Arabidopsis thaliana: one gene and its partner. The protein of the gene in region 2 interacts with the protein of the main gene of each other region in a pairwise test. Each region holds a gene or a part of one and is shown on either strand. Other genes may lie near its edges.

The links.
Region 1: the proteins of ASA1 (region 2) and JAZ12 interact in binary tests that used the Arabidopsis thaliana proteins (3 or more experiments, as listed by UniProt).

The regions. Positions count from the first base shown.
Region 1 is NC_003076.8:7,088,729-7,093,172, reverse strand, and holds JAZ12 (jasmonate-zim-domain protein 12), read right to left. Parts: upstream 2,470-4,444; 5' UTR 2,291-2,469; coding exon 2,166-2,290; intron 1,776-2,165; coding exon 1,673-1,775; intron 1,599-1,672; coding exon 1,418-1,598; intron 1,327-1,417; coding exon 1,269-1,326; intron 1,259-1,268; exon of another isoform or gene 1,069-1,258; coding exon 972-1,068; 3' UTR 634-971; downstream 1-633. Other genes in the region: AIP2 (RING/U-box superfamily protein), read left to right, coding at 67-279, 361-510; AT5G20890 (TCP-1/cpn60 chaperonin family protein), read left to right, coding at 3,267-3,272, 3,357-3,413, 3,510-3,575, 3,665-3,776, 3,878-4,006, 4,105-4,176, 4,348-4,444. UniProt on the Arabidopsis thaliana protein: Repressor of jasmonate responses.
Region 2 is NC_003076.8:1,718,867-1,724,892, forward strand, and holds ASA1 (anthranilate synthase alpha subunit 1), read right to left. Parts: upstream 4,045-6,026; 5' UTR 3,946-4,044; coding exon 3,756-3,945; intron 3,547-3,755; coding exon 3,362-3,546; intron 3,270-3,361; coding exon 3,074-3,269; intron 2,562-3,073; coding exon 2,410-2,561; intron 2,291-2,409; coding exon 2,175-2,290; intron 2,081-2,174; coding exon 1,690-2,080; intron 1,612-1,689; coding exon 1,378-1,611; intron 1,301-1,377; coding exon of another isoform or gene 1,285-1,300; coding exon 874-1,284; 3' UTR 709-873; downstream 1-708. Other genes in the region: AT5G05720 (RNA-binding (RRM/RBD/RNP motifs) family protein), read left to right, coding at 168-387, 494-675; AT5G05735 (uncharacterized protein), read left to right, coding at 1,100-1,300; EGY2 (ethylene-dependent gravitropism-deficient and yellow-green-like 2), read right to left, coding at 5,157-5,411, 5,543-5,703, 5,799-6,006. UniProt on the Arabidopsis thaliana protein: Part of a heterotetrameric complex that catalyzes the two-step biosynthesis of anthranilate, an intermediate in the biosynthesis of L-tryptophan.

The DNA of each region.
Region 1 (4,444 bases), 5.4 Mb from region 2:
TTGTATTGGTAGCGTCTTTTTCTTAGCTTCATGATTGAAAAGTGATATATGATGTGTTCTATGCAGATACTAGATGATGGTGGACCACCAAGAGCTCCACCGGCAAGTAAAGAAGTTGTAGAGAAACTCCCAGTCATTATTTTCACCGAGGAATTGCTTAAAAAGTTTGGAGCAGAGGCAGAATGTTGCATCTGCAAGGAGAATCTAGTTATTGGCGACAAGATGCAGGAATTGCCATGCAAGCACACATTTCACCCTCCTTGCCTAAAGCCTTGGCTGGTATAAAAAAAAAAATCCCATTCTTTCAAGCTTACTAGTAAGTAAGAACATAAAGCTTATGCTCATATTGTTTTATGGCAGGACGAGCATAACTCTTGCCCTATATGCCGCCATGAATTACCAACAGACGATCAGAAATACGAAAACTGGAAAGAGAGAGAGAAAGAGGCCGAAGAAGAGAGGAAGGGCGCAGAGAATGCTGTCCGCGGAGGTGAATATATGTACGTTTAAATTTCAATCAGTTATGGCACACTCCCATTGTCTTTCCTTGAAACATCTCCGAATTGTTGTTCATCATTCACAATTATAAATCCCATTTTACATATAGATTCAATGTCTTTTGTATGAAAGCTTATAATAACAACACAGACTTCTTTACTTTACACACAATTGTATCTTGAAGAGATGACAAGTTCAATAACATAACATCAAAGAGTCATTAGTTAGATAGACTCTAGGACAGTGTTACTAACTACAATAGTTTCTTCAGTAGAATTGTAAAATGGCAAACATATCTGACCACTCCCAGACATGGAAACAATCTTCGGTTTGTCTAGCAAACCTATACAGACACTATCATACAACACATTACACACAGCAGCGTACATGATAGATTATCATATTAATTACTATATTGACAAAACGTTTTACTTAGTTTGCTTATAAGCTTAATGTGGAGGTTTGATCTTCTGCTAAGCAGTTGGAAATTCCTCCTTGATAGAGACATTGCCTGTTGGGACATCTGTCTTTTTGAAGTCTGAAGTAGGGTAAGGGTTTTTGTTGACCAATCTGCAGATAAAAAAAAGTGAATGTTATTGTTAGATGCAATATCAAGGTTAAACATTATGATCAATCTGTCTTTACAAGTCTCTCACAGGTACATTAACAAGCTCTGTATTAGTAATCAATCAAAAACTGAATAAAATAGATCAGATTTGAATTTCCATTGAAATGGAGAAGGATGAAGTGTAATTTTAAAGGCTGCATACCTGTCCCGTCTTTTCTCGAGGAATCGTTGAAGCGAATGCCTCCTTGCAATAGGTAGATCTGTTACGGCAAACATAATTGTAAGAAACTAATGAGAGTATCCATTTTCAAGGTTTGAAGATTACTATAACCAGTTGAATCGAATACTTACCAGCCGTGGATCTGCAAAACGAGATTGGCTGAATAGGAAATGGCTGTGCAGCTGGTGATGCCACATTAGATGTGCTTGAGAAAGAAGGAGCTCTGTTCAGTGCTGGCGATGAGACAGGACTGATGCTTGTAGAATTCTTTGTCTCCATTGCTTTAGCAGCAATACGAAGGATTTCTTGAACCTATAGGCATAGATCACAGTGAGAACAGAAATTCTGAAGTTTTTCTGACAACAACAAAGCTCTAATGGACCAACCTTTTCTGATGGAAGTCCATCAAACACAGTAACACTTCCACCAAAGAAAATAGTAAGTTGATTTGGAGGAACCGTTGGCTCAGCGGTTTGAATCTCCGTGGACCTTCAATAGCAGAAGATCTATTAAACTTGTGACCGACACTATAAAGATGGACTTATTGATGCAACATTAAGAAAACTCTCCACATATGAATCCAGTCTCTCCAATTTCACATGTTAACGGTGAAGTTCTATTAATCAAATTCACATGAAAACTTATGTATGCATTAAAGGACTTTGAAAAACACAAGTTTGTTAAGAATCCAATTGTTCCAGCCAAAAAACAAATTGGTTCCATTGAGAAATATGACTTTCCCTAAATAGAAACTAAAGTAACCAGATCGAAATGCTGATCTTCCTTATCAGAAACAAGATACAATTTTAAGTACTAAACTCAAAGCAAAGAGAGAAACAGATAAAAACATGTGAAATCAACAGTAAACACAGCTCATACCTAACTTCGTTAATCGATTTCTCAACAGATCCGGTACCGCCGATCTCAGCCGCGCCGCCGTCACCGTCGGCAACACCACATCCACCTTCAACGGAAGCGCGTGGCTCATCTTTCACCTTAGTCATGGCTTGTCTCTCAAAATTTGTAGATCTGTCTTTTTCCGATGAGAATTTTGATACTTCTCTCCCTTAGAGTACTTTTGTTTCGCTTCGTCTCTACGTCGTTCAGACCGGGAACCTCCGAGATTTATCCTTCTCAGAAGCTCCTGTAATTTGACACCTGGCGATAGATATTGATTTTTATTGTTTGACTTTTGGTGCTACGACAGTAAAAGACAACAAGAGGGTAATTAGAAACGTGCTCGAATATGATACGGTGTCGTTGGCCTTCTATGTGGGACATGCTTTCTCATTTCGGTTATCCGGAACTCCAAACGTGTATAATTTATAAGTGGCTGAGACGTTAAACTAATTGAGTTTGCTGGACCTTGATTCATTGGGCTCTTAAAGTACTGTTGGGCTTAGTCGTCTTAAAATGACTTCTAAAATGGACCTTGACTGCTTACATTTATAATGTTTCTCTTTCTATTTTATAAGCCTCTTTACATTTATAGTTTTTTTTAGTAACAATATTCGCATACAAATCACGAATTAATTTATTTCTGTTTTTGTATTCGACCGCTAAATCATCACCAAATTCAAATTTGTATATGGAACATTTTTTTTTTTCCTCTATATAATCAAACAAAATGCAAAATTGTCGAAACTATAAAATTTACTTCTTAATGTAACTTATAACTTTTTGGTTAAGGGTTAATCTAAACTTTTTAGTTTTTACTGAAGGGCGCATAAGAAATCTGGGAAATACGAGGGTAGTTTGGTCTTTACGAGTTTCATTTAGGGTTCCGAAAGATCTGGGTTTTGGCTCTCTCCTCTCATTTTCTACTCTTCTTCAAAAGCACACTCAATATTTCGAGATCCTCTCGGCTTGTTCGTTCTTCGTGAACGATCCCATCTATTGTTTCTCGCTAGTCTCAGATTCGACTAACTTGGATATCTCCGATACTGAAGAAGCCTCCTTCTTCTTTTTCCGCTCTTCCCGATGCCGGTAATGTTCCTCCGTCGTCTCTTTCAATCCTTTTGCTTTTCCCCAGTGCTCTCCGTTAACTGAACTTAGCTATTTCGTATTTAGATCGATAAGATCTTCAAAGATGATGCTAGTGAAGAGAAGGGAGAACGTGCGAGGATGGTGAGTCTTTTGAATCGATTAGGATTTAGGGTTTTTCAGATTCACTCTTCTACTGTTTAAATCTGATTTTCTTTTCTTTTGTTGTTGCTCTTTTAGGCATCATTTGTTGGTGCAATGGCTATCAGTGATCTGGTTAAGTCTACTTTAGGGCCAAAGGGCATGGTAATTTCCGATCTCTGAATATTTAGAAAGCTACAAACTTTCAATTTGGTTCTATTGATTATTGTTGAATCCTTTTTATTATTGTTTAGGATAAAATCTTGCAATCTACTGGTAGAGGTCATGCGGTCACTGTTACTAACGATGGTGCTACTATTCTCAAGTCACTTCACATAGACAACCCTGCAGCTAAAGTTCTTGTTGGTATGTAATTTCCCTGCGACATTCTGGCATGAAGTTTTCACATTCGTTTTTTCTTAGTTGGGTTTTCTCTCACAGTTCGTTGTATCTGGTTTGTTCTTCAGACATCTCGAAAGTTCAAGATGATGAGGTTGGTGATGGAACTACCTCTGTTGTTGTCTTGGCCGGCGAGCTTCTGAGGGAAGCAGAAAAGCTTGTGGCTTCTAAGATTCACCCTATGACCATCATAGCAGGTACACTTTTGGAGCTTTAAGTGTTAAGATGTCAACTTTGTATCAGCTTCTCTCACTATGGCAATGATTTCTAATTTTTTCGTTTTCTGGTTTCTTAGGTTACAGAATGGCTTCGGAATGTGCTCGTAATGCTTTACTGAAAAGAGTCATTGATAACAAGGACAATGCAGGTAATCATTATAGAGATGGTTAAACCTTGTTATGCTGACATATTTAAGTATAGCATTTTCTTGTTTGTGTGATTACTTCGACTGTTGGGTTCAAGCGGTGATTTCCTTTCAGTTGAATACAGAACGGAAATCACACTGTTATTTTACAGCATTGTATTTTTGTCAATGCAGAGAAGTTTAGGTCAGACTTGTTGAAGATTGCGATGACTACTTTATGTTCCAAAATTCTCTCACAGGACAAGGAACATTTTGCAGAAATGGCCGTGGA
Region 2 (6,026 bases):
ATCATGTCTGTTTTTTATATGGTTTTGTAGAATTTGACTCCGAAGAGACAGCGACCAGTGTCTACAGAGATCTACAGGTATATTATCCTAGTTAAGTCTCTTTAATTTGAAACTTGAAGTTGATTGGACTCGATGAAGTAGGGTGACAATTTTTTGTTTGCTCCTAGGGAACTGTTGTGGATGGGCATGCTTTGATCTTGAGCTTCTCTAAAAACAAGCCGAGTGGAACGGTTGGGAAAGATTTAGACAAGGACACAATTTTGACAAAGTTACATGTGAAAAATATAGCTTTTGAAGCAACTATGAAAGAAGTAAGACAGCTTTTCACTCCATTTGGACAGATCAAGAGCGTTGGGCTTCCAGAGAGGACTAAGGGAAGATATGCTGGTTATGGTTTTATTGAATTTGAGACAAAGCAAGAAGCTTTAAACGCTAAAAAGGCATTATCCAACACCCATTTCTATGGACTTATCTTGTGTACTCATCTCTCTAGCCTGTTCATCTTTGACATCCTTGAATGCATCCTCAACTCGCTATTTGCCGTCTTTGCAGGTGATCGAGTGGAAAAAGGTTGACAATAGCATGAAGGCGATCCGATATCGTTCTGCTGCCAAGTATGTGGATCAAGAAAACAATAATCCAAAGAAAAGGAAAAGCTCGACAGTTGTTGGTTAAAGAAGAATCAAGTTTGGGAGAATAGCTGAATATTATTGACCATGGTTTCTATTGTAACATTTTTCAGAGCTTCATTAATGGAGTCTAATTGCAATTCTCACAAAATCAAGAAAAAGAAAAAACTTTGTTCTGCTTGTAACTGTTTTATACACATGAACTCGGAGTTCAAAGAAAGCCAGCCTCTGTTCTTGGGCACAATCATTTTTTCACAAATGCAGATTCAGCCAAGTCGATGGCTCGAGCAAGACCAGCGGCTTTGTTCTGGCACTCACAGTGTTCGTCTTGCGGGTCACTATCAGCTACTACACCAGCTCCAGCTTGAAGATAAGCCACCCACTCACGCCGTTTGTTAGCATCCTTGTAAGAGTACATTGTATTGTATTGACATGCTGTCGGAAAAACGATTGTCCTAAGGGATAAAGCAATGTCCATGTCACCAGTGAAGGAGACTCCACCAAAACCGCCACTGTATGGTCCACGCCTCGTTGGCTCTAGCTCATCGATTAGTTCCATAGCTTTGACCTTTGGTGCACCACTAACTGTTCCCACTGGTAAAGCCGCACGTAGTACGTCCCAGCAAGTCAAACCATCTTGTAATTCTCCTGTCACCTACACACAGAATTAGAACTTAAGATATTAAGGAACACACTATGCGAGACTTTAGATATTTGATCTACTACTAGTTATCTAATTAACAATTACCGTGGAGCTTATATGCATAACATGGGAATAACGTTCGATGTTCATAAGCTTCTCTACTTTCACTGATCCGTATTTCGTAACCTTTCCAACATCGTTGCGACCGAGATCAACCAACATGATGTGCTCAGCACATTGCTTTTCATTCTCTAGCAGTTCCTTTTCTAATCTCTTATCCTCAACTTCATTCTTCCCTCTCTTGCTGGTTCCTGCCAATGGCCGATTCACTATCTTGTTCTGCTTCAAATATGATATAAAGGTTAGCTTCAAAAATGATATAAAGATTAATGCAGCTTTGAGAAAAGAGAGATTTACCTGCTTTACTTTGGTGAGAATTTCTGGACTTGATGCTACCAAAATGCATCCTCTAGCCTGAATAACAGAACGAAAACAGCATTGATGGTTTATCCACAAGTACAAAATGCAAAGTTGTTGAGAAATGTTCTCTCCATCACCAACCTGCAAATAACCCATATACGGACTTGGATTCACAACTCTTAGTGCTCTATAAACTTCAAAGGGGTCTGCAAATGTTCGCCGCTCAAAACGTTGACTCAGCACGATCTGAAATATGTCTCCTGCAAGTATATGTTCTTTGGCCTTGACCACAGCCTCCTTGTACTCTTCGCATGTCACGTTTGAATTATCCAAAGATGGCCCAAATTGTCGTGTCTGAAGATTCACGTTACCTGCAGCCAGTTTTGGCCTGCATAGATTCACAGCGGAAGAAAAATGAACAACTTTTAAGAATAGTAGCCAAACGGAGCTGAAAAACTTAATCAATTCAAAGAGATACTCACGGCTCAATATCATGTAACTTGGCCACCAAGTTCTCCAAATGTTGCATTCCATTACTGTATGCCTTTTCGTAAGGAAGGCTCCCATCTAGTCTAATCCAGTGAATGACATATGCTTTCTGTAAAATTTTACAAGGAATCTCTAGTCACCACTTCAAGAACAAGATAACGCATAAAAAGGAAACTAAGATGCATGTCTCAGTTAATCATAAAACATGGATGGTGACAAAATGATTACCTTTTCCACGTGATCAAATACAACTACATCGTCGTACAGACCAAGATGCATGTCTGGCAAGTTCCTATCATCCTCAGGGGCCTTTGAAAATGGCAATTTCCTCTTCTCAACATAACGAACAGTGTCGTACGAGAAAAAACCAACCCACCCACCTATCATAATAAAGAAATCTTACTAAGAGATACCACTTCATGAACAAGATAAAGCACAAAAAGTAAACTAAAACACTAAGGGCAATCAATCTTCTATCTAAAAGCGCGAGAAAAGATATTCAAGAACGTAAAGGCGAATTGGGCACAAAAGGTAGAGGGAAAACTAGATCACAACAGGGACAGAATGACCAGCATAAGAAAGTTCTCTACTTTATCAATTGCTCTTGCCTCTTGGGAAATCAGACGTACATGTTTACAACTAGGAATCCCATGACCCCATATGATATGGTATGTAGTGAACACGGGTTACGTGCATTAATTGCTAAATGGTTTTGAGATAGAAATCCATGAAACTTGACATTTAAAAAGATCACTCAAAAGCAAGAGCTTGTCTCGAAGACATCCATACCATTATCACATATCCCCAGTCCTTAAAACTAGTGGCTTCATTCCTTTTAAGTTAACTATTCTAGAAAGTGACTCATTATAAACAATAAAGAAGAATCTCTTACCACAAAACGCATCTGGAAGGTCCTGAACTAGTTGAGGATCAGGGTTCCATTTCTCAGAGATTTTTCTTGGGATCTCCATTGGATCTTCGACGAATTCCTCAGTCATGGTTTCATTGTTGTGATCCATTACAATAACTTTATTCTCCTTTGCCACGATCTCCATCGCAGGCTGAGCCCCAACAACGCTATAACGACCCTATCGAGACCAATCACATCAAAGAAACAATTAGGAACTGAGACATATTAACAGATAAAAAGGATATGTACAAAGAAAGATTATATACTTACAACGCTAGACATCTGAGAACCAGGCTCAACGGACTCGAAAAGAAAGCTAGGAGCTTCACGGTCATCTTCTTTGACCAAACAACGGTAAGCAAGAACAGGAGTAAGCTGATCAGAGAATATACAGCGGTAAATTGGTATAAGGTTTGTACTCTTAGAAGCATCTGCCAACTTCTTTGTATCACTTACTGCAGAGAACAAGTCCAAAAACATGTATCAGAACTGTTTTCACGCTTAAGAAGATTCACATTCACAATCAAACCAATCAAATTAGTCAGAGAATAGAAATTATAAGCTTGACATAAATGTCGTTCAACCATTTTCCCGCATTTTATCGGTAAAAAATCAAACAATCAAAAACCCAAATTAAAAGAAAAAACGAAGAGCATTGCTTCACCTATTGAAGCTTCCGGAGAAACAGAGACGCATTTAATCGAACGGAAAGAAGGCGCGTAAGCCGAGCTTCTACCGGAGTATCCAGTAACGGTCACAGAAGAAGAAGAGAGATAACGAGAAGCAACAGAAGGGAGAAGCCGGCGAGAGAAAGTCAGTGCTTGCATCGTCGCTACGTTCATAGAGGAAGACATTGTAACGGCTAAGAACTCGGTGGCGGCCGGAATGTTTGAAGATCGGAGAAGAAGATTCAGAGGTGACGGCTAAATGAGTAAATTTGATTAGTGATTATTCTACGAGATGTGGCATATTTATAAAGAAGATGACCATGTGACTTATTTAGCAATTTACTTTAATACCCCTTACCTGTATTTTCCAATTTCCCTCATTTTTTCACTATAAGTCATGTGCATGAACCATGAAGGCAGCGAACCCTTTTCGGAAAAACTAAGCAAACTTGTCATTCACAAAGATATTGCATCAGTTTCATAAGCAAACGATACGAACGGTCGTCTTTCTCAAAAGTCAAAAACCCTTATCTTCTTACTTTAGTGTTCGAAAAGTCTTTCTTTATTAATGCCATTACAAGACAATCCTCAAGTATGCGTTTTTCATTTTTTTCCAACAAAAATAAAAACATAGAAAAGTTGGTAACATGCCTGATAGCGGAATGTTAACAATACTACTTCTTTTACCAGATTAGTATTTAATTTCTTCAGTCAATTATATAATAGTACGAATGTAGAAACTTTGACATTTTCTTGAATAAACAACGATCATAGTAGGACTATGTAAATTGGAAGGTTGCTTTAGCCTTTAGTTGCTACCAACCAAAATCAAATCCATCCACATTAAAAGCATGTGCTTTTCTTCTTATCTTTTACCTTCCAATTTCATAATATTATTCTTTCCTTCTATTATACTAATATTAATCCTTCCTAGTCATTTCTTTATGTTATTAAAGTTTTGAATTGTTTTTCTTGAATAGAGAATTTAACGTCGTTATAGCATCAAATTTGTCACATACTCTCGCATGTCTATAATGTAGTTTAAATTTCTATTAATTCGTCTGATATATATATATATATATACAAAGTTGTTAACAATATGATTATCACTACCCCATAAACAAAGTTGGTCTTTTCTGTTTTTCCAACCAGTGAAAGTCTCTTTTTCAAAACCTAGATTGACAATCCCACACGTAATTAATAACTGATTAGCAAAATATTAGTTCACATTTCTGTGAGAAATTTGGTTTGTTTCCTAAACTGCTCCATGAGAGTAAAAATATAGAGCAAGAACAAAAACATAACTTTAGATGTCAAAGTAGAGCATAGAGACCAAAACAAAAAGTTACAACTATATCTCTGATTTCTTATTGTGCGGTGTAATGATATGAGTCACTTCACAAGCCAATCATCATGGCTTCATTGCCCGTGAAAGCAAATGGGTAAGGCAAACACACAAGCAAGGAGAGAAACAAAACCAGGATTCCAAGAGACACATACTTATCATCAGGCACCGTGATTTCTTCAGCCAGCGGCGCAATCGGTCCACGCTGCAGGAAGAATATCAGAACCACCCAGTAGAATGCCACGTCGCTGAACAACGCCGATAAGCCCAAAAGCGCTATGGATGCACCCGTGAGCCGTGTTGCGGTCTGAAATCATTAGGAGACATATATAATTCTGATTACTACCTAATCAATCTACTATGGGGAATGGACTCGAACACAAAGACGAATAGTATAAGACATTGTTAAGCTTTTTAAGTCATTCTAATTAGTGTTACCTTTCTTCCCCAAATGGAGAAAGCTATTTTGCCCCCATCGAGCTCCCCCGCAGGGATACTGTTAATGCCATTGATGAGAAGTCCAGCCCATGCCCAGATCACAAGTGGGTTAAGAGATATTGAAGTTCCTTCTTTGAGTGCATCACCTAGTAGGAGCTTTGCTATAAGAGAAAAAGAAACAAAATTTAAACATTGATCAACTCTCCAGCTTCAGCCTGCAACACTTTATCATATTTGATTGAGAGCTAAAGCTTACCAATACCACCAGCAAGGAAGGACTCGTGAAACACTGATGCATCAACTACAACGCCAATGCCGTCACTGGGAGGCACGAATAACCCTATAAGAAACAGAATCAAGCCTAGAGAAAAGCCAGCCAAAGGTCCTGCAGCTGCAACCTTCAAAAGATCTTCTCGCTTGGCTACGATATTTTTGATTCTCGTTATAGCACCGAAAGAGCCTATCTGCCATCTAAAACATGTTC